4 linked regions of the Struthio camelus genome follow. Each later gene encodes a partner of the first gene's protein in a complex. Links are inferred from orthologs where the notes say so. Each region holds a gene or a part of one and is shown in the gene's direction. Other genes may lie near its edges.

Evidence for each region.
Region 2: CUL3 (region 1) and KBTBD8 share a complex: the UniProt entries of both Homo sapiens proteins name them as parts of the BCR(KBTBD8) E3 ubiquitin ligase complex. The link is inferred for Struthio camelus from reciprocal best matches to the Homo sapiens genes CUL3 and KBTBD8.
Region 3: CUL3 (region 1) and KBTBD2 share a complex: the UniProt entries of both Homo sapiens proteins name them as parts of the BCR(KBTBD2) E3 ubiquitin ligase complex. The link is inferred for Struthio camelus from reciprocal best matches to the Homo sapiens genes CUL3 and KBTBD2.
Region 4: CUL3 (region 1) and KLHL25 share a complex: the UniProt entries of both Homo sapiens proteins name them as parts of the BCR(KLHL25) E3 ubiquitin ligase complex. The link is inferred for Struthio camelus from reciprocal best matches to the Homo sapiens genes CUL3 and KLHL25.

The regions. Positions count from the first base shown.
Region 1 is NC_090950.1:12,984,687-12,992,136, reverse strand, and holds the start of CUL3 (cullin-3), read left to right. Parts: upstream 1-4,446; 5' UTR 4,447-4,580; coding exon 4,581-4,646; intron 4,647-7,450. UniProt on the Homo sapiens protein: Core component of multiple cullin-RING-based BCR (BTB-CUL3-RBX1) E3 ubiquitin-protein ligase complexes which mediate the ubiquitination and subsequent proteasomal degradation of target proteins.
Region 2 is NC_090955.1:13,899,808-13,907,778, forward strand, and holds the start of KBTBD8 (kelch repeat and BTB domain-containing protein 8), read left to right. Parts: upstream 1-4,970; 5' UTR 4,971-5,155; coding exon 5,156-5,171; intron 5,172-7,971. UniProt on the Homo sapiens protein: Substrate-specific adapter of a BCR (BTB-CUL3-RBX1) E3 ubiquitin ligase complex that acts as a regulator of neural crest specification.
Region 3 is NC_090943.1:55,282,353-55,289,801, reverse strand, and holds the start of KBTBD2 (kelch repeat and BTB domain-containing protein 2), read left to right. Parts: upstream 1-4,437; 5' UTR 4,438-4,812; intron 4,813-7,449. Other genes in the region: uncharacterized protein, read right to left, coding at 1-717, 1,425-1,626. UniProt on the Homo sapiens protein: Substrate-specific adapter of a BCR (BTB-CUL3-RBX1) E3 ubiquitin ligase complex that acts as a regulator of the insulin signaling pathway, modulating insulin sensitivity by limiting PIK3R1/p85alpha abundance in adipocytes.
Region 4 is NC_090953.1:8,595,292-8,602,603, reverse strand, and holds the start of KLHL25 (kelch-like protein 25), read left to right. Parts: upstream 1-4,297; 5' UTR 4,298-4,383; intron 4,384-4,472; exon of another isoform or gene 4,473-4,595; intron 4,596-6,656; exon of another isoform or gene 6,657-6,742; intron 6,743-7,312. UniProt on the Homo sapiens protein: Substrate-specific adapter of a BCR (BTB-CUL3-RBX1) E3 ubiquitin ligase complex involved in various processes, such as translation homeostasis and lipid synthesis.

The DNA.
Region 1 (7,450 bases):
GAAAAGTCTGAAAGTGGATAGAAACTATGCGAAAGAGCGCACCTTGGCGCTGTCCTGCTTCTTTGAAGGGAAGTATAGTAGTGTCCTAATAAATCATGCTTCTGAGTATTTCCCATGTTTTTATAATACCCCACTGACCCCATACCTATTATAATCTATGCACCTTATACACGGAATCAATCCATTGAGATATTATTTTGATTTATAGGGGAAGGACTAAGACAAGGCACTAAATGGGTATTTACCGGATCGTGCTGAGCTTTGTTGGTCTTTACGTGATTTGGAATAAAATTCTGCTTTTGGCAGGACTACCTTTGTCAGAATCCTCAATGCAACGTATTCAAAATCAACCTATGTTTATTCACTGGTTGTTTATTTTGCTGGTACATATCTCTGTGTTGTTACAAAAAATACACATTTTTCCCTCAGTTGTGGAAGTTGTGATGGAAAGAATGATTTGTTTATTGTTTCTCCCAAAACAGTAACATGGGAAAGTGAAGGGACTATCTTATAGATGGGGTTACTGTGTCACATATAATGCATGCAAATTTGAAAGCAACCATCACATGCAAAGTGATGCAGCTTAAAAAAAAATGCCTGCTCCTTTATTCTGCACTTTAAAGGGAGAGAGCTCACTCTTCTTCCCACCCCTGTATGCAAATACTCTTTTGTTTGTCTGTAGGAGGACCTTATAGAGTGAGGTCAAGCCCTGAAATGCTTATCTAGGAGTTTACATTCAAGCGTTTAGGTACTCCTGGGATCAGAATTGGGTCATTCTGTTTCCTGCTGTGACAGAAACCTTTTTTTTCTTTATACTTGTATTTTTCAGTAGTTGTATATCACTGAAGGCGGTGAGTGAATATGTAAGGAAGACCTGAAAATTTAGGTATGTGTGATTCCTTGGAAGTGATGCTTATCTTCAAAATATTGGTTCCTGGCTTCAGCGGAGCATGATCAAGCCTCAACAAGGAAAAAGTCACTGTTTAAGTTTATAAGAACATTTTTCTGTAAGTTAAACAATAACCACATCCAGCTTTTAAAAGCCTGATTATGAAGATGTTAATCAAGATTGAGTCTGATGTAGCATATTGTCTTCACATTGGTCAAATATGTCTGCTGCCCTTCACATGACTAAGGTAAGTGCTAAATCAGATTGTAAAGACAGTGTTTGAACAATTAAAGGTTTGTTGCCACCTTCAAGATAAATATATCAATGAAAAGGGTCATCCTTCTCGTGCTGACAGAAAGGTGATGATATGCCTTTCAGGTGAAAAGGTTCTGTATGGATTACCAAGCACCTGAGCATCTTCAGTATTGCATTTAGTGATATGTTCAGCAAAAAAGGCCTGATGACCTCAGGAAAAAAAAAAAAAAAGTGAATGGCCACTTGGCATACACTGCATATGTTGAGCTTTTCTCTGCACAGTATAATTTGTTCTGGGGGCCTTCATACCTCATGTCTGTATGCTGTTGTGATTGGTGGAAAATATGACTAAGGTTGTTGCAACACACACGATCCTGAACGTTCAAGAAGGGTGACCATTCTTTTTCACAAGAACCGTTACCTCACTGCAGGACTAACTGAAGATATGCAAGATACGCACGTAAAATAGCTGCCATGACCCAGTTAAGCAATAGGGTGGCTAACTCTTCCTATGCTAGTCTGTCCTCCTCCACTCATCTTTCTGGTTTTGACCAGTCTATAATTAATGTTATAAGCACCTAAAGAACCTCTAAAATAGTTCTTTGTGTGAGCTCCAACCTTGTTTTTAGCAAAGCTTCATTTTGTAGATTATGTATGGAAAGAGAAAACTTGCAGTGAAAAGACTGTAGTTGTCTCCACATGGTCTGTCCCAGAACAGACCTCCAGAATGCAGGGAGGAGCTCCTGGTGCAGTTCTGTATAGCAGATATCCCCACCAGGTCGCAAATCTGCATAAGGAGATGTCTCAGGCAGCAGTTTCAGCTTTTAATAATATAAGAACTAGCAATATACGTCTCTTTGTGTGTTAGATCTACAGGCTCACAGCGTGGAATTAAGCTAGCTGGCATGGGTATTGAGGGAAGTGGGTGTGAGAGTAATTTTACTTTTAATTCAGCGTACCATGCTGGGCTGAGCAGCAACTAAGGGTGAGTCAGCACTTTTCAGACCCTCAGATAAAAATGTGTGCTAGTAGCGACTAGGATGAGCAGAAGGCGAGAGACTGATGTTCCAGGGTTGCGGTAAGCATAGGCCAGTATGGGAGGAAGCACAAAAGCAGTAATTAGAAAAGTTTATCTAGAACAATCGGCAGTAATGGATACTTGGAAAGTTCATTAGGATTGTTTTCAGCAATTTTTTCCCTTCTTTTCCTGAATGAAGAAATGCCAGTTCCTCAAAAGCAAACTATTTCTGGGAAAGTTTGGCTTTTTGAAAACAGTATTGTATTTGTTGCATTGCACACTTGCAACATTCTCAAAATGAAAACTATTAGGACAAATTTACTTTTTATTTAAGTGTTGTGATCCGTTTTCACAAGAGTCAAAATGAAAACTTTTCAAGTGACTTGATCTTCACTGTTACAGAAAAAATATTGGAATTTACTGTCATTGAAATACAATATTATCCTCATTTGGCAAAGGAAATACTTAGGAGGAGAAATAATCTGCAAATCATATTGAAACAATACAGAAGCCATGTTCTTCATATTAATAAAGGGCAATCTTTCCCTTCCCATCACATCTTTTCTGTTTCATCTACATTCACTATAATTTTAAGCAGGGCTGGCTGGTATTGCAAAGTCATGTTGCAATCATTGTTTATTGTGCTGCTGTTATATAACATCTTCTCTAGGCGTATACTTAATTCTGATCAGGAGATTAAGAAGAAATCCCGTATACAAACATCTGTAGTCTCAAGGGGAAGTGGTTGTAACAAACTGAGAGACCAAAATGAAGTTACTTCTGCAGAAGGTGGGCCAGCTCCGAGAGGTATGTTACCTCTGAGGGCAAAGGCTGCAAAGTGTAGATGCACCTGCAGGGAAACAGTGATAGAGAAGCAAGTGGAGCTGGATGAAAAATGGACATTGCAAGATGCCCAAGATTCAGAGTCTGGTTTAAGAGTCACCTAAAAGAAATGCTCTTCCTGGTTATGCTGCGTAGATCCTCTGGGGGAACCCGAGCAAGTGATGTTTTGTCCCACATTTCAATTTCATCCACTAACTTTTCAGTTAGTCCCCTAGTGACTAGGACCTAGATTTCTTTTTTTTGGTTGAGCAACGTAACTTCCAGAGGTACTAAGCTGCTGCCGACTTACAAAATCTGACATTTTCAAAACACTCTTCCCTTTTGCAGCAACTGCCCTTTCTTGAATGACCTATATTTAGCACTGTGCTCATGCAAGCGTTGCCTCAGGTGGCAGTCTCATTTCTCAGGCACGTATTGATGAGAAACAAAACATAAATAAAGAGGAGAGAAAACAAATGCCTTGCATCAGGGCATTGTACGAGTCTCCCACGGAGGGCTACGCCTACGGGTGGCATGATTCAGAGGGGCACAGTGGACATCTGGGAGGCCACAGAGGGCTGAGCAGCAGGAAGAGGCACAAAACGTCTGCCTTTCCTCACAGCGCCGTGCGAGCTTCACCGCAGGTGGCCAGAGCAGCGGCGCGGGAGGACAGCCCCTGTGTGTTACCCCGAAAATAAAAACGTCTCGCATCCGGGGACCCCAAGAGGGGGGATAGTAAGGGGGAGGGGGGCATGTTAAAAATAAATAAAAATAAAAAAGGGGGGGGCAGCAGGCGGTGCCAGGCACCGCGCGGCCCACGAGGTGGCCTGCGGCCTCAGCCCGCCGCGCTGAGGGGCAACCGGCCGGCGTCACCGCCTGCTCGCGCGCCGCTCGCCCCTCCCCGCCGCGCGCCGCTCTCCGCCAATCAGCGGCCGCTTTCGCTCCCGCCCTCCTTCCCCCCTCGCCGCCGGCGCCGCCCCCGACAGTGACAGCTCGGAGCGGCTCCGCCCCGCCCGCCGCCGGGAGGCCGGCCGGAAGTCTCGCGAGATTCGGCGCGGCGCCCCCGCCCCTCCGCTCCCTCTCTCCCTCCCTCCTCCTTCCCGCCCCCTTCCCTCCTTCCCTCCCTCCCTCCCTCCCCCCCCCCGGCGGCGCCCCGCCCCGCGGCCTCCTGCCGCCTGCCGCCGCCCCCGCCCCCGCCCCGCCGCCGCGGCCGGATCTGTCTCCTCGCTGCCTCGCTCGCTCGCTGGGTGGTGGTGGCGGTGGGAAGGGAAGCGGAGGAGGGGAGGGGGGGGCGCCCGGCCTTGCGCACTGAGCGATGTTTGTCCGCCATCGCGGCGGAGGAGGAGGAGGCTGAAGGAAGCGCCGCCGCCGGAGCCCGGGGCCTGCGCCGCCGCCGCGCCCCCCCCACCGCCGCCGCCGCCACCTCCCCCACCCCCCCCCCCGGGCCGGCCCGCCGCCCGGCGCGGCGGCCCGCAGTGAAGGTCGCCAGCGGCCTGCCCCGGCCCCGCTCCCGGGGCCCGCCGCCCCGCTCCGCCTGCCCCCGGCGCTGCCGCCGCCGCTGCCTCGCGGGAGGCGCCGCTCCGGCCGGGCCCGAAGATGTCGAACCTGAGCAAGGGGACGGGCAGCCGGAAGGACACCAAGATGCGGATCCGAGCCTTCCCCGTGAGTACCGGCCGCCCGGGCCTAGCCGGGCCGCAGCGCCGCCGCCGCAGGCCCCGCCGCCGCCCGCCCGCAGGCCCCGCGGCCTCGCCGCGCTGCCGGCACCGCCGGGCGCCCTGCGCAGCCGGCCCGGGCCGGGCGCCGACCGAGCTGTCAGCGGGCCGGGCGGCCCCGGGCCCGGCGGGAACCGCGGCGGGAGCGGGGAGCTCACGGGGCTGCCGGCCGCCGCGCGGCCGGGGCAGGCGGCGAGCTGGTGGCCGCGCTAGTGGGCTGCTCGCCAGCCAAGCGAATCGGTCGCGAAAATCCACCCCGGGCTTGCGGGGTGGGGGGGGCCGGTTCCTTTGTTTTGGACGAAAAGGCCTGGAAGAAGGAGTCGGAGGTTGTGTACCTGCATCAAGAACACTGGTGAACCCGGGAAGCAGGGTGTGTGTGTGTGTGTGCTTGTTTATGTCTTCTGCGGAGTTTTCTCTCGGTGAATTTATTTCATTCTCCTCTCTGTGGAAGAGACTACAAGCCTATGATTATAGGATTTAGGTGGCAAAATGCCAGGTGTGCAGAGTGTGTTACTATAAACATCTGGCCATAGGTAACTTCCACGCGTGTTCGGCAGAGCCACCAGCATGCCATCTCCTTGAGTTACGGAGGGGAATGAGCCAGTTTATTAATTTATACTGCCATAAACCTTGCTCTGTTTTGACAGTTGGTGCAATTAAAGCTTACGACAGAATAACAGCTACAGTACTATTAATGGTGTTGAAGGAACGAGGGAAGTAGGAAAGCTGCAGTGTGCCTAAGGATGGCCAGGAAGTGTGTGCGTGTTCATCTATGTATGTGTTAAAAAGAAGATTCTTAGTTGAGTCATTGGCTTTTAAAGCTTAGCATAACTTTTTGATGTTATGCCTGATCCTAAGCGGCAGTGGTATAGAACTAATGTGCCTTGCCTTTATGAAGAAACTGGACATACCTGTTTATGTTATTTCCCTGGCAAGGAATATATCAATATATTTGCTTCATTGAAACTCTTGCTGATGAAATTAGAGAATCCTTTATGTTCTCAACAGCTGGTTCAGCCATAGCAGTCTGAATTGTACTGCTGTCCTCTTAGTCCTTCCTGTACTTTTAAAAGTAATTATTGACTGTTACGTTTAGTGGTAAAAGTTAAAAGAAAAAAATGGGCTAGGAAATGTATGCGTTTTAGCTGATGAAAGGTTTTTGATCTTCACATTATATATTTTTAAACACTCTTTTTTTCAAGAACGTTACTACTGTTAGGATATTTTGGTTTATGGGAATGCAGGGAAAAGGCTTACTGCAACGTGGCCAGGGCTTTACAAATACATAGTAGGAAAACTTGTGCAAAAATTAACCATGAGAAAAGCTATGGTCCATGTTTTATAACGTACTACACCAAAAGATAGCAATTTTTAATTTGATAATCAGATCCTTGTATTATAACTCTGTACATATGTAGATATGGGTCAGCCAACAAAGGCAGGCCTAACAATGGCATAAACTTCGATTTGCGTTTTATTTTTTTGACCGTTCTTGTAAACGAGCATACGAAATTAGGTTGGTGGGTGAAGAATGCTCATACAGAGGCCTGTTCTTACAGAAAGTCAAGCATTGTCATTGTGGTTTTTTTCCTTCTCAAACTGTTTGTGTTAACATTGTTTCTTTTTCCTTTTCAGTTGCTTAAAGAATATTTAGATAAAAAATCTTGAGGGAGGAAAAAAAAAAACAAAAAAACTTCTCTCCCAAATAGCGCAATAAGTATATATAGGCATCAAGGCCTACAGATCTTAAGTATTTGCTGATGTCTATCGACAGCAATTTTTCAGGTGTTCTCTTCGATAGATTTTCTTTTCTGAGGCATATTGTTGACAATCCTGTTGATAAAGCCTTTATAGAAAAGGAGCATGTATTTGGGTGAAAGACTTTGAGGGTTTTATCTTTTATAATTACAGAAGGCTATAATAGTTCATGTAAAATTCTAACACCAATTTTGCAGTCATCTTAATGTTTGTATAGCTTTGGCCCTGTGAATAGGGCCAGTGACTGCAGTGGGATTATTCATGTCAATGAGGTTACATTTGTTTGCAGGATAGAGTCTATATTTAGAATGCAAACTCTTCATACTTCAGTTACTGATCCTCATTCTTTTATCTTAGATTTGTTGGTTCTGCTCTTCAGTTTTGAATTGGGAGCACTACCAGAGACTTCTCGTATGTTACTTCAATTTGTCATCTTGCTGATCATCTCTGCCTGTTTTTGTTTAGTTGCCTTCTTGCACTGGGAGCAGCTCTTGATTAGTATATTAAATTAGAGGTAGCCAAATTGGACAGGTAACATAAAATTGCTATGTTCCAGGAGCCTTATCTACCTCTGTGTAGGTTCATAGGTCATCATGGATCTCACATTTTCTGTTTTTATAATCTTTTTGATATTTTTCTGATATTGTTATCTGTTACAGTAGCAAAAGGAAGAAGAAGTAATATTTTGCAAAATAGTATTACTTTTAATGTTTCCTTTTTCTGCATTATTAGAAGTTGGGTGAGTAGAAATTGCCCAAAACTTTTGACCACAAATGTTGTACCTAGAGATTGTTATGCTTTACGATTAGTTTTGTTCTAGATTCTTTATTGTATGATTTCTTGTCACTGGTGGCAGAATATCCCTCATCAGAAGTGTCCTTTAGCATTTATTAGCTCCTGATATGTACTCTGAGTTGCTCTTTCTTTCCTCAAAGCACAGTGAGTTCTGGGGATTCTATGTTGAAGTGGGTTGTAGAGTAATCAAAAGTAATTGAG
Region 2 (7,971 bases), on another chromosome or scaffold:
TTGATGCTTTTCATCACATCTTTTAGGAATAAGAAATGAAACATGCATAGATGTGCTTTTCAGTGTATCCTGACAGAAATACTTTATCTGCAAGGATGCTAGAGTTAATTCAGTCTCAGTGAATGCTCTGGTACTGCCACACTTTGTCAGCTGGGGCTTTGATGCAAGCCTCTCTATAACACAGCCATGAGAAGCATAAGGGTCCTGGCACGTTAAGGAGAGAGTGGCATAAAAATGCGATTAAATACTCAACAAATTGGAACAGGGATGAGATTCTGAGTCCACTGTACCCCAAAAAGGGCTATTTCCTTTGAGATCACTGGTGGGTTATATCTGCTGAAAAACGAGATTTCAGTGGGACCAGGCTCACTGAATCTCCTTCTGTCCCCTGGGTAGAACAGATCCATCGGAGTATAGATTTCCCATCTATACATGAGTACCCAAGCCTGCTCTGCCAGGCTGCTAGTAATTGCAGACTGGTCTTGCAAAACTTTGTGGTGACAGTGGATGAATGGGTGTTTTGTTCTAAAGTGACTGCTCCAGAATATATCACTGTCACTTCACCTAAACACCACCAGTCACTCTGATTTTCAGTAGCTGCTGGGACTTGCTGAAAACAGTAGGGCCTGTCATTCTGAGATTAAGGAGGGATTAGCTGTGTGATTTCAGCCAGCCTTAAAAGAAAGGTTAAACACTTTGGGAGGAGGAAGTGTGCATGTGTGTGCGTGCATGTGCGCATGTGTTCCAAAACAACAGATGGTTTCAATAAAGTTGCTCCCGCTGCTAGGAAGTGGCACTTCTTGACATTAGCAGAGCCATATCTCATCAGGGTTCTTGTTTCTACCAGCCTGTCTCAGCAAGGCCAAATCCACTGTACAGTATGGGGTAATCAGAAAAGGCACTCCAATATCTGCCCCATTAATTGCCCCCTGCCAGTCCTTGCTCTCCTCTGATGTAGCGCCCACTGTGCTCAGTGTGCTAAGATCAATTGGCTTTGAAGGGCAACTTCCTCTAATGATCTGCAATTCCCCCTACTTAAACTGCAACAAGAAGTGTCTTTTTAAAGATTCTATAAGAAATGTGTTATTTCTTGGAACCACTAAATAAAAAACTCTACTTCAATCAATGTATCGATTTATTAAATAATTGTGCAACTAAATTAATGTGCCCCTTGGTGACGGAATTGCAGAAAATGAGCAGTTTTATGCATTAAAGACAAACTGGTAAAAGATTGTTTTCCAAGGTTATATCGTTCCACAGTGAATATGAAAATTTTTCCAATTAAAATATGAGGGTTTTTCAGAGTGCGGTAGTATCAATTGTATTACTTCTCACAGATGCACAGTATGACTTGATTTAACACATACAAATAACAGAACAATTGTCAACGTTACTAATTGATACATCTTTGGAGATAGCAAATAATATTATTCATTTTACCAGTATTATATTTAAATTTTAGAGTTAAATAATTTTGCTGGAAATTGGCTATTTTTTTAATTGGATAGTTTCATGAAAAAAGTAACGGTTCAAAATGTTGCCATGAAAACCTAAAAAGCCCTTTGAAGCTTCTCCACATCTTTTTTCTTTTTTTTCTTTTTTTTTCTTTTTTTCTTTTTTTTTTTTGACTATGTGGTATGTGGGTGGAGGAGTGTGGGAAGATGGCGGAGTAGAGATTGATTCTTCCTCTCTCTATGCCCTCCATTTTTCAGTGAAAAAAAATCATACAGGGGAGGAGCAAGAAAAAAGTACAAGGAGGAAGCAATGACCTCTTCCTGAAATTTTGGACTAAGCATTTTATACAAAATAAAGATGGAAATATTCCTTTGGCTTAAAAACTGTTCCATTTTAAAGCTGTTTGACTGAAACCCTATTCATACTTTTCTTTAAATTTTGGTCCAGTGGTATTTATTATCTGCATTTTGCTCACAGGAAAAAAAACATCAGCAGGATCCCCAGAAGTGCTCTGGGCATTATCTCTTGTCCAGCAGGGGATAGTTTGGCCAGTTTCTCATCAGACGATCCAAGCTAAGAATTTGCCAAAGATCTACTGTGTTCCCGGTCCCTGTATTGAAGGTAGATGAAGCAAAACTTCCTAAATAATGTGTTCCGTATGTGTAACAAAGAATGGAAACATTTTCAATAACTGAATTGTATCTGCAAAAAAACTTTTTGATGGTATCCTCTAAGTTCTCAAATATCTGCAGAAAAGTATATTTTACTCATTTTCTCCTAAAACTTTTTCCTTCCCTCTCTTCTTGCTTGGTTTCTTGACAAAGACATTCTTCATTCTGAAGGCAAGGATCCCAGTAAAATTAGTGCCAGTTCTGAGTTCCTCAAGAGAGCAATGTTTGTGATCACTCATAAGACTCTGAATTCCTTCTCATTCGACATTTCATCTTTATTTCTGAGTCTCTGAATATCAAATGGGAAACAATACTTTCTCTACCAAGTGTTCTCAGCTGTGTGTTTACAAGCTGTATGTGCAGGAATGATGAAATAGGTGTGAAATTAAAGCCTTCATTAGAGCATTCCAGTCCCTCAATACCCAGGAAATGTCCTCGGTTTTGGATTCTTGCAAAATCTCAAATGGTATAATCAGTTGCAATGGACTGCTGGCCAGAAAAATAATAATAAAAAAAAAACTTACCTGAAATTATAATATTGATAAGGGAATTTACATCAATATATCTCAAAGGAATTCACAGCTCCTCATTGTCTTCTGGGAAGCCAAAACCCATGAAATCAAATGATTTGATCAACAGCATGCAGTAAATCAGTGTTAACACTAAGTCAATAACCCAGTTTTCTGACTCCTAGTTCTGTGCTCAAATCCTGGGCCTGTATTAATTCCCAGGCAAAACACAGACAAAGAGAGAAAGAAAGGCATGCAGCAGAAAAAAAGGGAGCTGGAACTCACTAAGCATCTTGTAATTTCTGAAAGTTTTGGTCCTAATGTTTGTATGCAATGCAATTGCAATTTATAATATCTAGCTTTTACATACTAAGTGACATAATTTGCTCAGGCAACATGCTTCTCATTTTACAGCTGAGAGACCGAGCAAATCATATGCAGACCTGGATGAAGAACCCTGGCCCCTGGATTTCCATGGGAGTGTTATATTGCGCTAAATCTTTTTAGTGCTAAGGAGTGCTAATGAGGGTTTCCAGAAAGAGGACTGAGTGATGAGGTATTAGGCACTTGAGAAAGACTTCTAACTAAGAAAAAGAGCTGCTATCAATACCTCTTACAGAATATTTGAACCTGTATAGCAATTTATTGCTTTGCCAAAAACCTTACAAAGGTAAGCTATTGCAAGAAATACTTTTCACTCTGAAGTACTGGCTCAGTGTGGTATCTATATTAAAAAACATTCTCCGTTTCACTCCTGCATTTCGCACACTAATCCAGCCCAGCCTAAGTGTCCACACCGAAGGAAATGAATTGCATCAGGCAATGTCATTTGCTAAAAGGTAAGAGTGGAGGTATTCTCCTTTCCTTTCGTTTTATATTTCTGGGGTCAATTTCACAACCCAGGCCAGTGCTGAATGGGGAAATTGGAAAACTGCAGAATCGATTTGCAGACGTGAAGTTCTATTTTCTTTTACACTTCTTTCATCACAGTCTCTATCATTCTCATGTTGTGTAGTATTATTATCGACAGCAGCCTGGACACCACTGATAATTGCTAAACTAGGGAAAAGCTATTCCTTGCAAGCGAAAGCAAAACCACAGAAGAGGCAGTCACGGAGCAGTACTAGTCTTGCTTTTAAATTCTTCTTATTTAGACTGTTGGTAATGTACCTATGGTATGTTATTTCTGAGAGTTAAAGGGAAATGTGTCTTTAAGATCTTATTTAAATGAATTTTCATTCACTTGCTTTATTGATTTTTACAAAACAAACTTCTCAGCCAACTATTCAGCTGCAAAGCTGAATCTATTAAAATAATCTATTTTAATAAAAACAGAAAAATCCACAGGCCTTCTGAATGCTTCTAGTATTTGGTAATTCTTCTTTCATTAAATGCATTTCACAAAGGAAAAAAAAAACCCACAGCAAATTTCTGGTAATGACTTAGTTATCAAGAATGAAACCAGTGGCTCGTCACTGCAGATAACCAAAAAAGCTGGCAACTATCAGCCACTCGATCTCTGGGACAGAGAGAGAAATGTACTTTGTAATATTAAAGGTCATTGGCAGCAAAATGGTTGCTAGAGGCATTTAGCTGCCTCTGTAGGTAGCACTGGCATTGCTAATCTGGCTGGCAGCAGCGTGCCGGGCGTTTGGGGGGGGGCGTACAAATACAGAACAAAATGACCACTCCTGGCATGCTGAGCTTGCAGCCTGAGTAGCTGGTTATATGTTTTGAGGAAAGAGCAGTTCGGCCCAAGCAAGTCCTGGATCTATCAGCCAAACGCCTCTGTGCCCTGACCGCGCCCTCGCTGTGTCAGAAGGCCTGCAAGTATTTTCTCTGTTTCGCTTCTCTCTGCTGGTTTTCGAGCGTGGGCCGTGGTGGCCGCTGTCCCCAGCCCACCCGGTGGGCGCCGCTGGGGCGACACCTCCGCCCTTGCTGGGCCTGGGAGCTTGTGCTGCAGGAGGCACTGCAAGGCCTGTAAAACTGATGAGGTAGGAATGAGAGGGGGGGGATTTATGTCCATGGAGGGGCCATTTCTGCTGGGTGCCCCCGGAGAGGGGAACACTCTGAGGGCAGCGGTGGCCAACAGCAGGGGTATGGAAAGGCGCCGCGGATCGCTCTCATGCCCCTGGCTGAGGGTGGAGGCCGCAGGGCCCCAAAATGGCCGCTCTGCCGAGCGACTCCCCCTCCCCTGCGCCAACCCCGCCGTTGCTAAGCGACGGGCAGAGCCTGCCCCCCCCCGCAGCCCCTCTTGGAAACTACAACTCCCAGGCACCCCGCCCCTCCGCGAGACTACAGCTCCCAGCATGCCCCAGCATGCGCCGGCACTACATTTCCCGGCAGGCCGCGGGGGCGGCGGCCAGTCAGCGCGCCCCAGGCTGGGCAGTGCGAGGAGCGGGGTTGGCTTCCGCGGTAGTAAGCGGGCCGCGGGGAGGAAGCGGGGCAGGGGAAGCAGCCCCGGTGACATTTCCTTTCGGGTTGCCCCCCTCTCCCGCTGCCGGAGCTGGGGCCCCGAGAATGGCAGCGTTAGGAGGTCGGTGCGCCTGGGCCGCCTAGGCGGAGCGGGTGGGTGGGGGAGGGGCGGCCGTGCTGAGGGGGGTGAGGAGCGGCCTGTGGGGGAGGGGCGGCTGTGAGGTAGGGTCTCTCCTGAAGGGTGCCTGTGGGGGGCGATGGGGAGGGTGCTGGGGGCCTCTATGCTGAGGGGCGTCTGTGGGGGGTACATTGGGAGGGTTCTGGGGGCCTCTGTGCTGAGGGGCGTCTGTGGGGGGTACGTGGGGAGGGTGCTGTGGGGCCTCTGTGCTGAAGGGCGTCTGTGGGGGGTACGTGGGGAGGGTGCTGGGGGGCCTCTGTGCTGAGGGGCGTCTGTGGGGGGTACGTGGGGAGGGTGCTGGGGGGCCTCTGTGCTGAGGGGCGTCTGTGGGGGGTACGTGGGGAGGGTGCTGTGGGGCCTCTGTGCTGAGGGGCGTCTGTGGGGGGTACGTGGGGAGGGTGCTGGGGGCCTCTGTGCTGAGGGGCGTCTGGGGAGGGTGCTGGGGGCCTCTGTGCTGAGGGGCATCTGTGGGGGGTATGTGGGGAGGGTGCTGGGGGCCTCTGTGCTGAGGGGCGTCTGGGGAGGGTGCTGTGGGGCCTCTGTGCTGAGGGGCGTCTGTGGGGGGTATGTGGGGAGGGTGCTGGGGGCCTCTGTGCTGAGGGGCGTCTGGGGAGGGTGCTGGGGGCCTCTGTGCTGAGGGGCGTCTGTGGGGGGTACGTGGGGAGGGTGCTGGGGGGCCTCTATGCTGAGGGGCGTCTGTGGGGGGTACATGGGGAGGGTGCTGGGGGCCTCTGTGCTGAGGGGTGTTGGGGGTGATAAGGAGGATGCTGGGGACTTCTGTGCTGAGGGGTGTCTGTAGGGGCGCATGGGGAGGATGCTGGGGGGTTTTGTACTGAGAGGTTTTGGCAGGTGAGTGCCCCACTGGGGGAGTGTCTGGGGGTGTGTGTGAGGGAGGGGTGCTGGGGGGCATCCTAGGTGTTCCTGTGGGGCAGGGGTGCTTGGGTGAGGCACCTGCAGTGGGTGGTGTCAGTGCTGGATGGGGAAGATTATACCTAGGAGGGTTGTTTGGGAGGTGTCTATGGGGTCTAGGGTTGGGGACAGGAAGTAGGAGGAAGCCTGGGTGAAGAGGGCCTGTTTACAGGCAGAGAGCAGTCTAGGGAGGTACCCTGTGCAGGGAGGTGTGCATGGTCATTTGCTTGTGGTGGGGAGTTTGTGGAAGGAAGGTTGTCTTTCGGGGATACCTTCACACTGTGTACGTTTGAGGGGAGCTGAGCAGAGAAGGAGGGCTGGGTACCCTTTGATGAAAGACTTCTGTGAGATTGGATTTGTGGAGAGTAGAGGAAGAAGGGAGGAGTTTTTGAGAGGTGAAAGTGGGCAGTATTTTGGGGGAGGAGATATCTAGGAGGAGCAGAGCAAAAGTTTCGGGGTGCAAATGGTGAGGAATATTAATAGATGAAGAAGATGCCCATGGCAGGGAGAAAAGAAAGGTGATGAGAGTGACTGGGAAGGTTTCACAGCATGAAAAACTGTAAGATGGGTAATGCCATGGATTGGGCAGAAATACTGGGACATGAGAATGAGTATCAATTCTTGGCCATTTCCACCAGTGCTGGAAACTGCCTTGATTGCATGTGCTGGACGAGTAACTGGCAAGGTTGGAGAAGAACTATTCTGAAGCTTCTCAATGGTAGAAAGGAAATGAAACTCTCATGCAGTACTGGATACATAAGAGTTTTCTTACGTGTCAGAACTTTGCTATGAAGTGTTGGAATTGATCTAGCAAAGTATTATTTGCTTGGAATTTACTCAGTAGTGATTAACATTGTTTCTGAAAATGTGCAAGTGCAGTTCTCCCCTTCCCTTATGACTTGCTTGTTTTGAATGTTGCAGCTCTGTTATTGTAATAAAGAAAAGTAAGATCTCTGAAAGGAGAGCTTAAAGTATGGCATTTACTGTTTTATTTGGGGAAGGGTGTTTTCAAGACTTTTCCTAACAGTAGTTTGAAGAGATATTGACAGTATTTGGCCCCACGCCTGCTATAAGAAATGTGTGCCCGTTGGCAGATCCATACTGATTTAATTGGGACTGTCTCAAAGTTGTGTCTGCGTTCTGATTAAGAGAAATTGTAGCTGCTGAATACCACCATGGGATAGGATTTAAACCTTCTGTTCATCATTCTTGCTGTTCACTGTCCTTTCTTCCCCTTTGTGTAGCCCTAAATGTGTTGGAGGTGTTCTCGGTTGCAGTCAGCAGCATTACCTGATTTGCAACTCTTACTAACTAATGTTTTTCTTTTGAGCTCTCCTTTGTTGTTGTTGCGCAAAAATCTTGTTACTATTATGAAATAGATTTTTGCGCTTGAGATATTGCTCAATTTTCGCTTTGGGATTTACTTCATTAAGCATATTATGTGTTATTTAGAAGCATATGCTTCACTTAACTTGTTTTTACAACGATGTGACTTCCTTCACACCTGAGTAATTTTAAATTGTAATAGTATTTTATTTGTGAAGAAAAACATGTAATCATGTATACAAATTTATGTGACTTTATCTAATAGATTTGCTGCTCTACATACAAAGGCTGTTTCTTTATGACTGTACTATTTCCAATCATTTGTGCAAGTTAGTAACCAGTTCCTGTTTCAGTGTAAAGTTAAGTACATACATGCAGACATGCCTAATGGCAATCTAGGTTGAGGGTTTATTTTATTCTTCTACGTGCTTTATTCTTCCCATTTTACAAGGCAATAAGCATTGTGATACTTGGTGGTTTGTTTTTTTTTAAGTGATATAAGTAAATA
Region 3 (7,449 bases), on another chromosome or scaffold:
TTTCTTGCATAGCTTCAGCACTCTGTTTTGAAGGCAGAACAGCTTTTCTCTCATCTATGTAAGTTCCTGGCACCAATTTCTCCCCTTCATGAGGGCCATATATCATTCCTTCACACGAACTAACAGAAAATAAGTCACGCTGCACTATATTCTCTGGGACTGGTTTACCACTTGCCACATCATACAAAGGAATAGTTTCTTTAAAGGACTTCCACAACTGAATTGCTGGAGAGCCATTTCCATATTCTATTCTTACTTCCTCCTTCTCAAAGGCATAGCTTCCAGAAGGAAGGTTTCTATACTGTGTAGAGCTAGAAGGGCTTTTATTATGAAACTCTCTGTCTACCACAATGGAAGATCCAGAAGAATCTTGTTTCTCTGAAGTACTTTCAGTCTCTGTACCTATACCAGAAGAAACACAGGCCATATTTCCTGCATCACAACCTTTCGTTTCTATATGGGTATCTTGATGCTTTTTTGGCTTGTTCTCAGGCTGTCTAGGATCAGTCTGCGTTTCCTTTGTCTCTGTTTTTTTCCCAGGGGTACTATAGTGTCTAAATCGTGTTGCATGATAAAACATAGGGGAGGGTGGGGGAGCATTAAAATAAGGCCTTCTGTTAATTCTTGCATGCATTGGATGCTGTGGAACAAAAAATCCAGGGTACTCATGGAGTGCAACAGAATAAAATGGAAAATATGGATTTCCACTTCGGAAGCCTAGACAGTGGGGTTAAAAAGAAAAGAGACAAATGTATCTTTTTTCCAAAAGAAATCATTCTGATTAATAACTGCTTGCATACAAAGGAGCTTCTACAAAATCTGACCCTTAAAGTAATGCTTTCAAGTGTTGATGGCTGAAGTGTAAGTCTTGCACAGAAACCCCAGAGAGGGTGCCATGTTATGGAACAGCTTATCTAGACAGCTACACTTTGTAATTAAAATTTGATTTTGTCCCAGGAGCATGCACTAATTAGGTTTCCATATTTTCTGCTATTATACCCACTAAGTCATAGCACCGTTTTTGAAAGACGGCTGCAGTTATAGGTAGCAATTAGCATATGTATACTATTTACATTATATATTTAATAGTACTGTTTCTTTGTGTGATTTATGTTTACACAGAGTGTGTATGTGCTTGTATGAAGCTCATTTACACACATACACTCTTAGGCATATTCTAGAGCCCTATAGCTATAAGATAATAATATTTTGCTTCGCTTCTATTCTGCGGAAACAGATACCTTTCAATAGCACTACAGTTAACTAACACTTCAAAACCTGGATCTTTTGAAGACTGAAAGACTATGTTAATTCCACTCTAAACTCTCAAGAGGCTTCTAAACACATACATATACATTAATCTCCTCCACTCTAGTACTAATTTACTAAGCATAACTACTTCAGACGGCTGCCATTTACCTTACCTGGCGCAGGTACGCAGTATGGATTATACGCATGACTGAGGTACCATGGATTTGGAAAAGGCTGTTGTGCTGTTGGCTGTGCATAAAAAAATGGTCTTGTGTGGTTTGTGGAATATGATCCACTTTCTGAAGCTGAGGCAGTATTCATTTTTTGTTTCCCTCTTAAACACTGAAAAAGAGAAGCGGTAAGTGACTTCAACATATTCTGTGCAGCTTGACAATTTCATGCCCTGTCAGAATTCAACAGGCATTTCTCTCCCTATCCTCACCTCTAGCCCAATGAGCCAAAACCTTTCCCCTGCAGACAGATTACCCTCTAAATAAAAGGTAGAAAACTGACATTGCTGTGAAGTCAGAGATTTTAATTCTCCTTTACCAAACGAACTTATGTACTACTCTCAGTACTTCAAGCCAATCTCCCTCAAGCTTCTCCAGAACCCCATTTTAAAAGTCACAAAACAGTCATAGGATTTATAACTTTAACATAGCTTTATGGGCATATGGCCATACAAGTAGTATGCCAGCCAAATGAAAAGCTAACATTTGATCAGTCAGTCTTGATCAAAAGGCCTTTAAAAAATTAGCTGGAGCAGTGGAATGCTTCACACAGTCAAGGGTTTGGTGCTTCATAAAAAAGTCCTTGTAGACATCAGCACACATGGTGTCTTTGAGCTCACAGTAAGAGCTCTATTGATTCAGTATTCTTACATCAGAAGACACTTTAAAACAAAAATAACTAACATAATAAACCAAGTTTTTCAGCAACACAATTCCCATGCTCAAACCAAGTGACAGGCAACAAGAAAAGCAAAATCCCTATGCTTAAGTCCACATTAAGAGCAATATAAAAATTCACTAGTAAAACAGAACCCTTCCCCACATCTATGTATTTCTTCAGTACATTCATACAGCAAGACTAGTCCAGTCCAATCCACAGGAGAGATACAGTGCTGTCAGATACAGTTTATAAACAAGAATAAAAGTAATAGGAGAACACAGAAGATTCAGTGTTTACACAGGAGAAAGACAGCAGTTCAACTATCTAGAGGACTTGAACTTTGAAGTTACAGAAATAAAGTTGAAGTTAAGACCTCTTACAGACTAGCACACAGCTCACACCCAGGGAATTGTCAAAAAGCTTTCAGGAACACTGGAGCCCTCTTCAGTTTCCATCTAGAACAGCCTGCCCAACTCACCATAAGAACCAAAACCCTATAGACTCTCCTCACTCTATTAGAGTAAGACCCCCCCCCCCCCAATGACTTTAGCAAATACAGAAACAGGAAAGGAAAAAAAAAAAACCTACACAAACAATCTACTCCTCCCCCATTAGGGCCCCTCAAAACTAAGGTCCATGCTGCTGCTGCTTACAGCCCAGCAAGAAACTAGCTGAGCCCTCTTTCAGCTCACCTTCTTTATGGAAAGCAGCTACTATGGTCCACTCCCTCTCCCACCTGAGGCTCATTTAACAGTGATGGGGGACCCTTCTCCATCAATCAGTGGGAGGAACAAAACACGGGGATAGGAATGGCAGTAAAACCCTTCATCCTGTGTGAAGAAAGCTAGTAGTCTCATCTTGCAGACGGTCAAGTTACATCCCTAAGTAATTCTAATACATCCAGTATTTAGGAATATTTGTAACATTGGAACTTAGGTTAAGCAAGCAATAGGTGTCAAAGGAAATTGTTACCCATCTTCCACCTAAAACCCCACTGTTAAAGACATTGCTTATAGAAACAAAAGATAGAAAGGAGGAGATTAAGTTTACATCTATTTTCAAAGTTTATCAGCTGCTCAGTCTGATTACAAGGAGCAACGCTCTTCCATTCTCACACAACTACTTGGACAGGTGACTGTAATTTTCTTGTACATGAACAAGGGAACTATATACTCAAGCCCAATGTACTCTACCAGGTGTAAACCAGAGTAATTTATGAATTTTATGGTTATAATTTGACTCTGCCCTGTGTCTTACAGGAAATGAGAATCTGATTTGCCACTTCACAACTTGACGTAACCAGAGTGACAGAACGCTACAACTGCCATTGGTATTGGGGGAGATGGCGAGAGAGGAAGGCACAACTAATGCATGACGCACGTAGGTCACTGACCAGAGAAAAAGAGAGGTGTGTGGATGCTTAGATATGGTTTGTATATCTAGGTTGGGAAATTACTCCTACTTCTATTGTTTCGTTGCATAATGTTCATAATGTGCATAATTAACCTTGTCCTTTGCACCAAGACACAAATTCTGAAATGGGCTCTACCAGGGAAGAATTGTTGATCTTGCTGTTCTCAGAGCTCCCCAGGCAAATCTCGCATCTTGTCTTTTCCTCTGATCTTGCACTTTGATACAATTTCTATGATTTGCCTGGGATTTTTTAAACCCTCAACTCCTGGAATGATCTGATTAGGCTTTCACCTACTTTTGAATTACATTTCTCTTGGTGCACAAAAACTGGAAAAAACAAACAAAATCAAAGGAAGGAAAAAAAACACTCCGTGGTTTTTAAAAAGTTGATTATCTCAAGCTTTGCCTTTTCTTTGGATCAGCCTTCTCCCCTTTCCCTTGCCCTGTTGTTTCTCTCCCCCTGCAGATGTCAGCCCTCAAAAGCCTCAGGCTGCATTTGGTAAAGGGGCAGGCAAACCTGGGCTCTGCATCTCTGGCACTGGGCCAAATGACGTTTTTAACCGTACGGCGTCTAAGCCCGAACGAGGACCACAGGAAAAAAACAAAAGAAAACAAAAACGGAGGTCCTGGGAGGAAGAGCGGGACGATGCCGAGCGGCGCCTCCCGCCTTCCCGCCCTCCGGCCGTTAACCGTTGAGCCCACAGCGCTCCCGCGCGCCGCTAGCCGCTCCCGCCGCGCGCGCGGGGCGAGGTCGGACCGCCGCGCAGGCGCACTCGCCCCCCTCGGGCTCCCGCCGCCTGCCCCGCCTCGGCGCGCGCCTGCGCAGCTGGCGGCGGAAGCGCCCGAGCGGCCGCCGTTGCCTTGGCGCGTGGGCGCTCGCGTAGGCAGGGGGAAGCTCGGGGGAGAGGAACAGGAAACGGGGGCGGGGCCGAGGCTCCAGACAGGGCGCGCGAGGCTGCGTCCCCCTCCCCCCCCCCGCCGCCGCTCTGGGCATGCGCAGGGGGAGGCGGACGGGTGCGGCAGCGCGCGGCGCATCGTAACGGCCGCCGAGCGGAGGTGATGCTGCTGGCGATGAGGAGGAGGAGGCGGCGGCGGAGGGCAGCGCGCCTGCGCGCGTAGTGGCCGCCGCCTCCGCAGCCCGGGGGGGACCGGATCCTCCGCCTCCTGCTTCTTCCCAACCTCCCCCCCCCCACCCCCCCGCGCTTCTCGCCGCCCGCGCTCGGGACGCTGAGGCCGAAGAGGAAGCGGCGGTTAGAGGTTTGTCCGAGCGATGGCGGCACTCGCGCCTCCCTGCGCCGCGAGGCGGCGGCGGCGGCCGCCCTAGCCGGGCCCGGCCGCGGAGCCGTTTGCCGTCTCGACGCCCCGTGCCGCGGCCTGTGGGCGTGGGGGGCCAACCCGCCCCTGACCGCGCCGCGGCCTCGCCCTCGCCCCGCCGGCGGGAGGCCCGCGGGGGCTCCGCGGCCGTCGTGTCCCTCCCTTCTCCCGCCAGGGCGCGGCCGCCGTTTCCCGCCTCGCAACTGCGGCTATAGGCGCCGGCGGAGACCCGCGGAGGTGGGGGGCGGCCTGAGGAAGGCGGCGAGGTGGTTGCTGCGGCCGCCTCGCCGCCCATGGCCAGCGCCGGCTGTCGGCGCGGCGGGGCGGGGGAGAGCCCGGCCGGAGGAGGGAAGCGCGCCTGGCTATCGGCGGGGCGGCCGCCGCCGGGCCTGGCCCTGGCCCCGGCTCCCGCTGTGCCCCGGTACTCGCGCAGCGGCTCCGTTTCACTTCCTTAGGGTTGGTGGGGGAGCATCTTTGAGGAAGGAGGAGAGGGAAGTGGAGAAATGGAGAGACGGGACGGCACACCTGGGTATCGGGAAGGAGCGAAGTGTGTTCCTCCTCTAGTACTGTGCCGCAAGCTGGAGCGGACTGCGGAGTGCGTCCTTTGATAGAGGGAGGAGGGAGAGGGGGGATTAGGGCTTCCAGCGTTGAGTGCTCCTCTTCAGCCCCGCGGGTAGGGGTGTCTGTAACGTGAATGCTTTTAGAGATGCCTGAAAGGACAGGTAGGATGGAGTCTTGCAGGAGAACAGCACTGCAGCGTACACTGCTGTTTCTTGTAGTTGACCACCTTTTCTTGCTGATATGTCTAGGTACGTGTACATATGGTATTACTACCCACAGTGACTTTTGTGGGGCTTCAGTACGTGTGGATTTGAAGATTCAAACAATTCTTGATGAACTTTTATACACTAAACATATATGTAGTAGAGAACACGAGATGGTTTGAAATCAACCATTTGCATGCATGAGATTTCCCAGTATTTAGTGTTTTTGTTTTTAAAAATACTTACTACAGGGAAAAGATATCTGCTGCTTTTGAAGTAACTGTAATTATGACTTAGATTTGTGTAGTGTTTAGTGCCTCATTTTTAGAGGTTTCCCTGCAAAACCATGGTTTGTTGTATGTTTTGTGTGTGTGTTTTTATGCTACTTCATGTTCCTAGTGGACCTGAATAGTATTCTCCTGCCCCACCTTCAGTTTATCCGTTTGTTTCAGAAACTACAATGCCTGCCTATGGTGGAAATCTCTCTGAGTGACTGGAGTTCACCTAAGATTATTTCCACTTGAATTTTGCTATGATGATGCTGTTAGGAGATCATTAAAATACCTTATCAGCTTAGTTTGGCTTCTCTTAAGTGTATTAGGAGAAACAGATAATTGTCAATACATGATTTATGTGAATACTTGAAATAACCTCATGATCTGAGCGTAGGGGTTGCTCCTCCTATCTAATGATTTTTGCATACGGAATAAAAAGGCCCAGTTATACAAGGTGCTGTGTAGCTCTAGCATCTTGCAGGAACAGACCAAAGCTGAGGAAAGGACTCTGCTGCTCGTTTACTCGGTATTTTTTAACTAAATTTTGGAGAGTGTGATTTTCTTTTTTCTTTCTTTTTTCTTTCTTTTTTTTTTGAGGCAGGCTTTTTAATTTTGGTCATGGGATTGTGAAATAGACCAAAACTGGTGCAAATCCTAAAATGGCTCATCCTTAATTTAGTTGCTGTTCCATTTTGAGAATAAATGGATGTGAATGAGGTACCCATTAAATGACTCTCACCTTTCAGGAAGTAATTTATGATTACTTTAGCTACACTAATTATTAGCCTAATTTCTTAACATAGAGATACTTGAATTTACAGTTTAAATATTTGCACTGAAATAGTGTGATGTTCAAGGGAATGAGGTACACTTGTGAATTGGAATTGAAGTTGTTAAAGGAAAAAGACTAGCTTTGCTAACGTTATGGAGTTCAGTGAAAATGCACTTGTTCTCTACGGTCATGATATATGGCTGGACCTGACTAGAGACATCCAGGGCTTACTTTTTTCAAATGTTAATTTACCAAAGCAGGTCAATTCTTTCCACAAGACTGAAGTGCCCTTGGGGATGGAAACTGTACCTATGCTCTACTTAGAAAGCCAGGTGCCACATTAAGTTGTTGGTTTATCTTGTGCTAATGTTATTTCTGGGCAGGTTTTCCCTTTGCTATGTAATTTCCTTTAGGAGCAGAAACACAAGAAAGAAACTGGTACTGAGGAGTACACTGTGACCAAACACACTTCCAGTCTGTAGCTTCTGTCTAGTTTCAGGAAGCTCATCTACCTTGAAGTTGTAACTCCTATCCCAAGCATAATATGTGTGGAACAACTTCCTGTAAGAAATGAAAAGTAATTTTCAAGATATAAACAATGTAGGAATAAGCTGGTCCTTTGAGTTTTTTGAGATTTCATGTCATTGTCTTATCAGATATAATCTCCTTGATGCCCTCAAATTTCTGGACTCCAGTGCTGTCAGTGATAACTTTGGCTTCAGGAAAGAAGAAAACTTCCAAGTCTGAAGCTGCTTCATCAATTACCTTT
Region 4 (7,312 bases), on another chromosome or scaffold:
TTAAATTTGGCATCAGGAGGAGAAGGCCGAGAGGGAGGAAGCTTGTCTTTTTTTTGTTGCTGTAGGGAAAGTACGTTAGTTTAGTCTGACTGGCAGCTCTGCAGTTTGTCCTCCCTTGCAGGATAAGCCAAAGTGTGAAAACTTCTGTCAAGACTCTCTTTGCTACCTTGCATCATCTCCTTGACCTCAGAACTGCCTCTGTTGGGACTCTTCAGCTGTATTTTCCTACCTTTGCTACCAGAGTTCCCCCAGATGAATGAGAGATATTAGCATGGATGGGGTCCTCTGATACCGGTGCTCGGTGCTCCTAGCATTGTGCTGTGACCTTCTCTGAAGGCTCTTGGCATTCACAACAGGGGAAAGTATTCACAAGCAACCTTGTCAGTGTTCCTAGCCTAGGGGAACTGCTGAATTTGCATGGCCTCTTCAGTCCTTGACCAACCTGCTGTGACTGCCAACGAGGAAGCCAATTGGAGTCGTGATTTTTTGGGCATCTGTCAACGAGCATCTGGCTTGAGAAGCATTAAACTAATTCACACAGACCACTTAGCAGCCATTAGCAGTCGTGGCGTGTTACTGACCTGCAGTGGACTGAAACCAGTGACCTAGAGGGGAAAACACTAAATTTTCTTATTTAACCTCTTGAAGAGTTAAGTTTTGTAGGACGGAAATGCTCTCTTAAAAACAACAACAACAACAACAACAACAACCAAAAAAGATACAAAGACGTCAATGTGGTTTGTTGGCCAGATTTTATTCTTCCTGCTGCTTCTCTGTAGGTGAGAACATCACCTACTTAGTCAACTCCCTCCAGAGCTAGATCTATTACATAAATAGATACAAACAGCTAGTGAACGCTGGGTAGGGCAAATCTTTGGAACATCCACCTTTGGGAAGGCAAGGTTTTAATGGGAACCAGGCAATTAGGGCTGATTTTTAAAGCAAGTTAGACCAAATGTATAATCTTGCAAATGTGTGAGTGTCTCATCCCTAATGAATGCTGTGCTAAACAAATATGGCAACAGGGTAAACACTTTTTTATTTAAAACTGTTTTTTCCCCCAAATTTAAAAATATTTAACCCCTGTTCCCTTTAATGATTCAAGGTGAAGGGGAAAATCTCAGTTAACGATTTTCCAATTTATTTTCAAAATGCCAACAAGTTGCAAGATTTTGTACCCCAGCTGGCTAACACTGCCTGCCCATTATGTACACCAACCAAAGGCCAACGCGGGGCATGATTTGCTTAACAGTGCAAGAGAATTTCCCCTGTAAACTGAAATCATAAACAGAGTATTAGTCCCTTAAATACCTTAAGGGATGCCTGAGGCCAGTATCATATATAAGGAGCTGGTATTAACATCCATCATAAACTAAGCTTCTTTTCCCTACACACTCTTAATACTTAAATCCTCTTAAACAAGAGGAAAACAAGAAATTTTTGTAAATGCCCTACAAGGGTTTTTTCCCTTGCAATTAACCATTCCCCCTATGCTCCCCCTGCTTTCCCAGATATCTGGCTCAGCTTCCGAGTGAGAGGAGCTAGTTGCCAGTCCTGGTATGTCCGCTGTGCCCATCACTGCAGATCCAGCCTTCTTGTGTGGCTAAGTATTGCTCCTCAAAGCATCACTCCTTGCATAGATAGATTTCTTCCCATCAAAGGAAAATATCTGATGCAGTGTTCAGCGATTCGAGCACACTATCTTCTGACAGTGCTATCAATACTAAGGAGCTGCTCCCTTGGAAAAAAAACCTAGTATCCGAATCCTACCTCCGTGAGCACCCAGAGCTTAACACCAGATGCGTGAACCTCTACAGTGCAGGACGCTTCCTCCAGGGCTTGCTGGGAGTGCCTGGTGTTTAGCTCTGCCAGAGACAGGAGAATGAATGAGAGTCACAGACAGCAGTGTTTAGACAGTAAAACTGTTGCAAACGCCCAGTGAGGCAGAAAATCTAGTTGCCTGGCCTTCACCGGGATGATGACAGTCCTGCTGATCACCCGTCAGAGAAATGACTTGCCCGAGGTGAGCAAGCGAGGGGAATTTGACAAGGCTGCTTTATTTGGAATTACAGCCCCAGGGGTCTGATTCCACCCACGACTGCATTGGTGGGAGTCAGGAGCAACTGTATTGGGATCAAGAGAGTTATAAAGCTAGAAAGCTGGTGGGCAGGAGATTAGTGTTAGGCATTATGTCTTAAAAGCATCTTTTCAGATACAACTTTGCAGAGAGCTCCTCTATGACTGACAGCTGCCAAAAATTCTGCCTGTCAGGATTCAGAAGACAAGCTGAGTTCACACATGCAGCTTGCCAGGGACAGGATTTTGCTTTTGTAATAGCAGTCTGAAAGTGTTTCACAATTAACAAACATGACCTCCCATTCCTCCATAGCTCTTTCACACTTTCGAGTGACTGGGTGGAACTCAACAGTCACAGTGAAAATCGATTTTGTCTTTAATGTTGCTGTTGTTTGACAGATGCATTTTGGATGCCACCACACCCACCTCTTGCACAAATCCCTGTTGTCTTCCTGAGCAGCTCGTTAAAGTCATTAAAAGGCCCCGGGACAATTTGTGGGCCTCTCAGGAGTAATTGTGCTCTTAGCTGGGAAAACAGCAGTGCCCTAAGAGTTAACCTGCAATGGCCTGGTTGCAACACAGATCCAGAAGAGCTCGATATAGTTCAGCATCTTCAGTGCACCCTGCTATTTACTAAACACACAGGCCCTGCCAGCCGTAGCAGATGTCCTTCTGTTTCAACCTGGGAAGATGAGAACGGACTGTATTTTATAATGTAGCCTTTTATTGGGATTATTGTTTCAATAAATCCCCATAGCAGCCACTTTCCACCTCTTCCCATGCCCACGCTATATAAAATTGCCCATGTCAGCAGTGCTTCGTATGAATCACTGCTACGAAGCAAGGACAAGTGGTGGCAGTTTCTTCAGCAGGAAACTTGAAGAGTTTTACTAGGTGGGAAGGAGCTTCTTCAGTGCAGGCCTTAAATAGACCGTACTGGCTGTATAGAAGAACCTATACACTTTGGACCTGGATATTTCCATCCAGCTACTATCTGGGGAGATATGCTTAATAGCACTATTAAGTTTCTCGCTTGTAACTTGAATCTCATTTCTGAAAGTTTGTGACTGAGTATAAGGAGAAGGCCTGGAGAAATGAGGTCATGAGAGAAGGTAAGAAATATCTCTTCCTTGCCTTTTCTGTGTGTCCAAAATTTGTGATCCATGGCTTTCTGGTCTTTTTTTTTTTTTTTTTCTTTTTTCTTTTGGTAGCAAGAACACTACACATTTCCCAGAAGAGGTGCAGGCACTGTGAAATCATGCTACAGATTCAACTCCTTAGTTACATGTTGTATGCAGAGATAGTATTGTTACAAATACTGCAACACCTGCTCACGAGTTATGGGGAAAATTGTATTGTTTACAAATAAGACTATTTTCTTGCCAGTCCTGTAACGCTTGATGAAGGAAGCGCTTACTTGGACTCGCCCTGCTCCCTCCGGAGGAAGGCAGTAACCAACTGGCTGTCCCTATCCAGGAGGTACGTCCGCTGGCAAACCTCCTGTCTGCTCCCAATCTCTCTGCACGGAGTTGCAGGCGACGGGGCCCTTTTGGGTTTTGCTGACCCTTACACTACCCCTGCATTGCAATTTTGCTGAGCTGACACTGGAGAGTTAGTAAATCTACGTTAGTTTCATCAGAGGTTTTCGTGTCCCAGCTGTAGGGTTGGGTCGAGCGTGCCAGGCTGAAGCTGGGGGAGCGACACGCAAGGCCAGCGTGCCGCAGGGTGCCAATCCTGCTCTCTGCGGACGGCCAGGAGCCTAATTCCTGAGTGACTTTTATGAGCAAGAAAACTGGAGAGTGTTCACCGATGCCCCCAGCCGTTTTTTTAAAATCGCGCAGTGGGGTGCCAGCGCAGAGGGTGGCGCAAACCCGCGGGGCCGCCAGGCGCGCTGCGCCGGGGGTGCAACAGCAGGGAGGAGAGAGGGCAGCCACAAGGGGCTTTGCAGGGCGCGAGGCGGACTTTAGGACCCGGGGGCACCCAGCGGCCTCGCCCCGCCCCTCAACCCCCTTCCTCTCCTCCGATTGGTCGCGCCGCCGGGCTCGGGCCCGCCCCCTCCCATGCGCCGCGCCGCAGCGGGGCGGGGCGGAGAGGCCGTCCCGGGGCGCGTCACGGGCTCGGCGTTCCCTGAGTGGCGGCGGCGGCGGCGGCGGCGGCGGCGGCCGGCCCCGCCCCCGGGTTCCACGCGAGGCGCGTTCCACCCGGCGGCTACATTGTATCCAGGGAGCGCGCGGGGCCGGGCCGGGCCGGGCCGGCGCGGGCGGGGCGCGGCCGCGGATCGCAGCGCAGCGCAGCGCGCGTGGGCCGGTGAGTGCCCCGCGGCCCCGCGCGGCGAGGGGGCAGCCCGGGGCAGCGCCGGCCCGCGGAGCCGTGCGCGGGGGTGGCGGCCGCGGCGCTCGGCCCTCCGCGGGGCCACGGCGGGGGCCGTGGGAGCCGGGGTTGCGCTGACCTTTCCCGTGGCGGGGTTCCCACACGCAGGTTCGCTGGGTTTCTTGCTTTTCCGAGCGTGGATAGAGGAGGTGAGTTATTTTCCAAAACCTGTTCGCACGCCGGGGAGCAGCGGAGCAAACGCGCCTCTCGCCCGCCGCGAATCGCCTTCCCCACGGCGTGCGCGGATGCTGCCCCGGCCCCGGCCCCGGCCGTGCCCACCTGCCGCCGCCCTGCGCTGCCCTCCCCGAGCGGGGCCAGTCGCTCTTGTTAAAGCGCGCAGCAAGGGCAAGAGACGGAGCGTGGATGTATGGAGCCGTACGTTATCCCGTGCGGAAGGGGGCCCAGCGTGCTGGCCGGATCACCGGCCCCATCGCTTGCCTGTGATTTTGCAGCGTCGTGTTTCCTAGGGCAGGTTTCACGTGCTTAGAGAGCTGCCACTGACACATTTAGGGAGGGAAAGGGCTTTAGTCTTTTATAACAAAAAGCTGCCGTTTGTATCTAGAATATGAAAGTAAAGCATCCTTGCTTTGCTGGTTATGTGTGTGTTTCTCAAAAACCGATTCTGTGGCTTAAGGGATGTGACTTCCAAAGTGTTTGTGATAAAATGAGTTGGAGAAACCTCGTTTTTAGAAGTGTGCGATTTTTTATAAGTGACTGATCTGAACTGACAAAGGAAAAAATAGTCCCCCATCACTTTGCTGTCCTTACAGGCCCCTTTGCGTTTCAAAGCTTACAAGCAGAGGTTTTTTTTCCTCCTGTTTTCTTTTTTCCTTTTTTTTCCCCCCCATAATGTACCTCCTTTCACTTCTAGGCTGTTTTTTGTTTGTTTGATTGTTGTTTTTTTAGACTAGACCAAAGCTATGCTCACAAAGACTTCTGTCCTCACCCTTTCATAAGGAGCCACCTAAGTGGCATCCCTCATGCGTTTCGTACAGAGCGCCCCAGCTTCATAACTGGCTTTTGTTCCCCCCGGGAGCCTCTGCACATCTTCCCTTGTGATCTGCTGGAGTGACTTCCTTGGTCAGTGCGTCATGGGCCATAGCATTCATAATCTTCCTCCAAATGTATTTCGTTCTGTCCAGGACGGATCCAGAGTCCCGGGACAAACAAATGACTCTCTAACCTTTAAACTATGTAAACCTTGTTCTCTTCTCCCTCCTTCCTGTGTCTTGTGATGCTTGTTTATATTGAACCCACCTTAGGAGCGACTTGACGTGTTTGTCATACACCCTGCACGTTTCGGGTGGAGGCCAGCTGCTGCTGTTAACACAGCTGTGTTATTCATTGCTACCCCAGTAATAGCCCTTTCAGAGTAGGTGTAAAAGCAGTCCGAGGGACTTGCGTGCTCTCTCTTTTCCCTGTCCGTCTCTCAAAGGATCTGTTTAGTGGGATGGGAGCCTCGTTGGGGCCTCTCCGTTCCCCTTGTCCTGTGTGCTACCTCTTACCTGAAAACACATGTTGTTTCTTTTGTGTCTCTGACCATCTGCTATGGTTTATCTCTGTGATATGGTGATAGGACTGTATTCAGCAAAGCGCTTGGGGAAGAGGCGTAGGTGGAAGTTTGCTTTGCGTAGGGCAGGTTCGGTGCGGGCACAGGATTCTTAGAGCTAAACCCCGCGAAATTTGCTGCGGAAGGGCAGTAGCACCGTAACGTAGACCCAGGAGGCTGTAGGCAGCTATAGCATTGGGGAACTTAAACTTCCTATCCTTTTCTGTTCATTTCTGAGCATTAAGTCTTTTGGGATTATCATCCGCAGTCCCTCAGCCTCTTCACGCGTGCGAGTTGCGCCCTGGGATCACCTCGCACGCTATATTTTGGGTAGGTGCGAGTAACTCGAGCAGCGAGGCTGGCACCGTGTCTCCGATGTGGTTTTTTGAAGAGGAGAGGCAGCCGGTTGAAAGTCGTACGATTGAAGGAGCTGGGCAAATGAAATTTGTGACGGCAGACTGCTTGGGAACAGATGACAAGTGGTGGCATGACACATACTCCGAAAGTGTGAAAATGAGCGTGTGTGGGGGTGTGTAACATGTAATGTCCCTCCAGTGCTGGAAGGAGTGCTGGGTATGGTCCTGGATAGTCAAGGATGAGAAAGGAGTGTGTATATATCTATATGTATGTGTGAATTATGACACCATTTTTGTCCTTGCAGTGGTAATCGTTGGCTCCCCAAAGCCTGCAGGATTTCAGGTGCTTCATAACAGCCGGAGGAAGCTTTAGACGACGTGGATGAGCTACGTGAGTGGAACAGAAGGGCAGGATGTGGCCGTTTGCAGAGGTGGAGGAGCAGAGGCAGCGTTTTGTGAGGCAGCGGGGAAGTGGCAGCATTACAAAAGGGAGGGTGCTGAGCAGTGCCATGGCCTTGGGTGGCAGGAGGTGGAGCAGGATGGACAGAGCCAGCTTGGGTGTCTGTGGCAGTGGCATTCGCTGGCGCTCTGCCTCCGTGGAAGGGGTAGGTTTGAAGAAGTAATGTCAGCACTTGTCCTGAGACGTAGATTTACTCCAGCCTTTTATAGACTGCAATTGAATTGCAGTGAGCGTGGCTGGCCTGGCTTAAAACAGTGGCTGCTGGAGTGCTGCCTAGGAAGTGTTGAGCTGTAACAAGCGCCCCCAGCCCCCTGGCTTGACCTTTAACCACCATCACATCGGTCTGTCTTTGCTGATCAACTTTATAGCCCCTCAGTGGCTGTTAGCATCACGCCAGCCAGTAAAGGCTGCTCTGTCCCCCCCCCTCCTTCCCCCCAAGCCTGGGAACGTTGCGTATCCCATAACCACTGTCTGCTCACTGACCATTAGACTTTGCAAAGT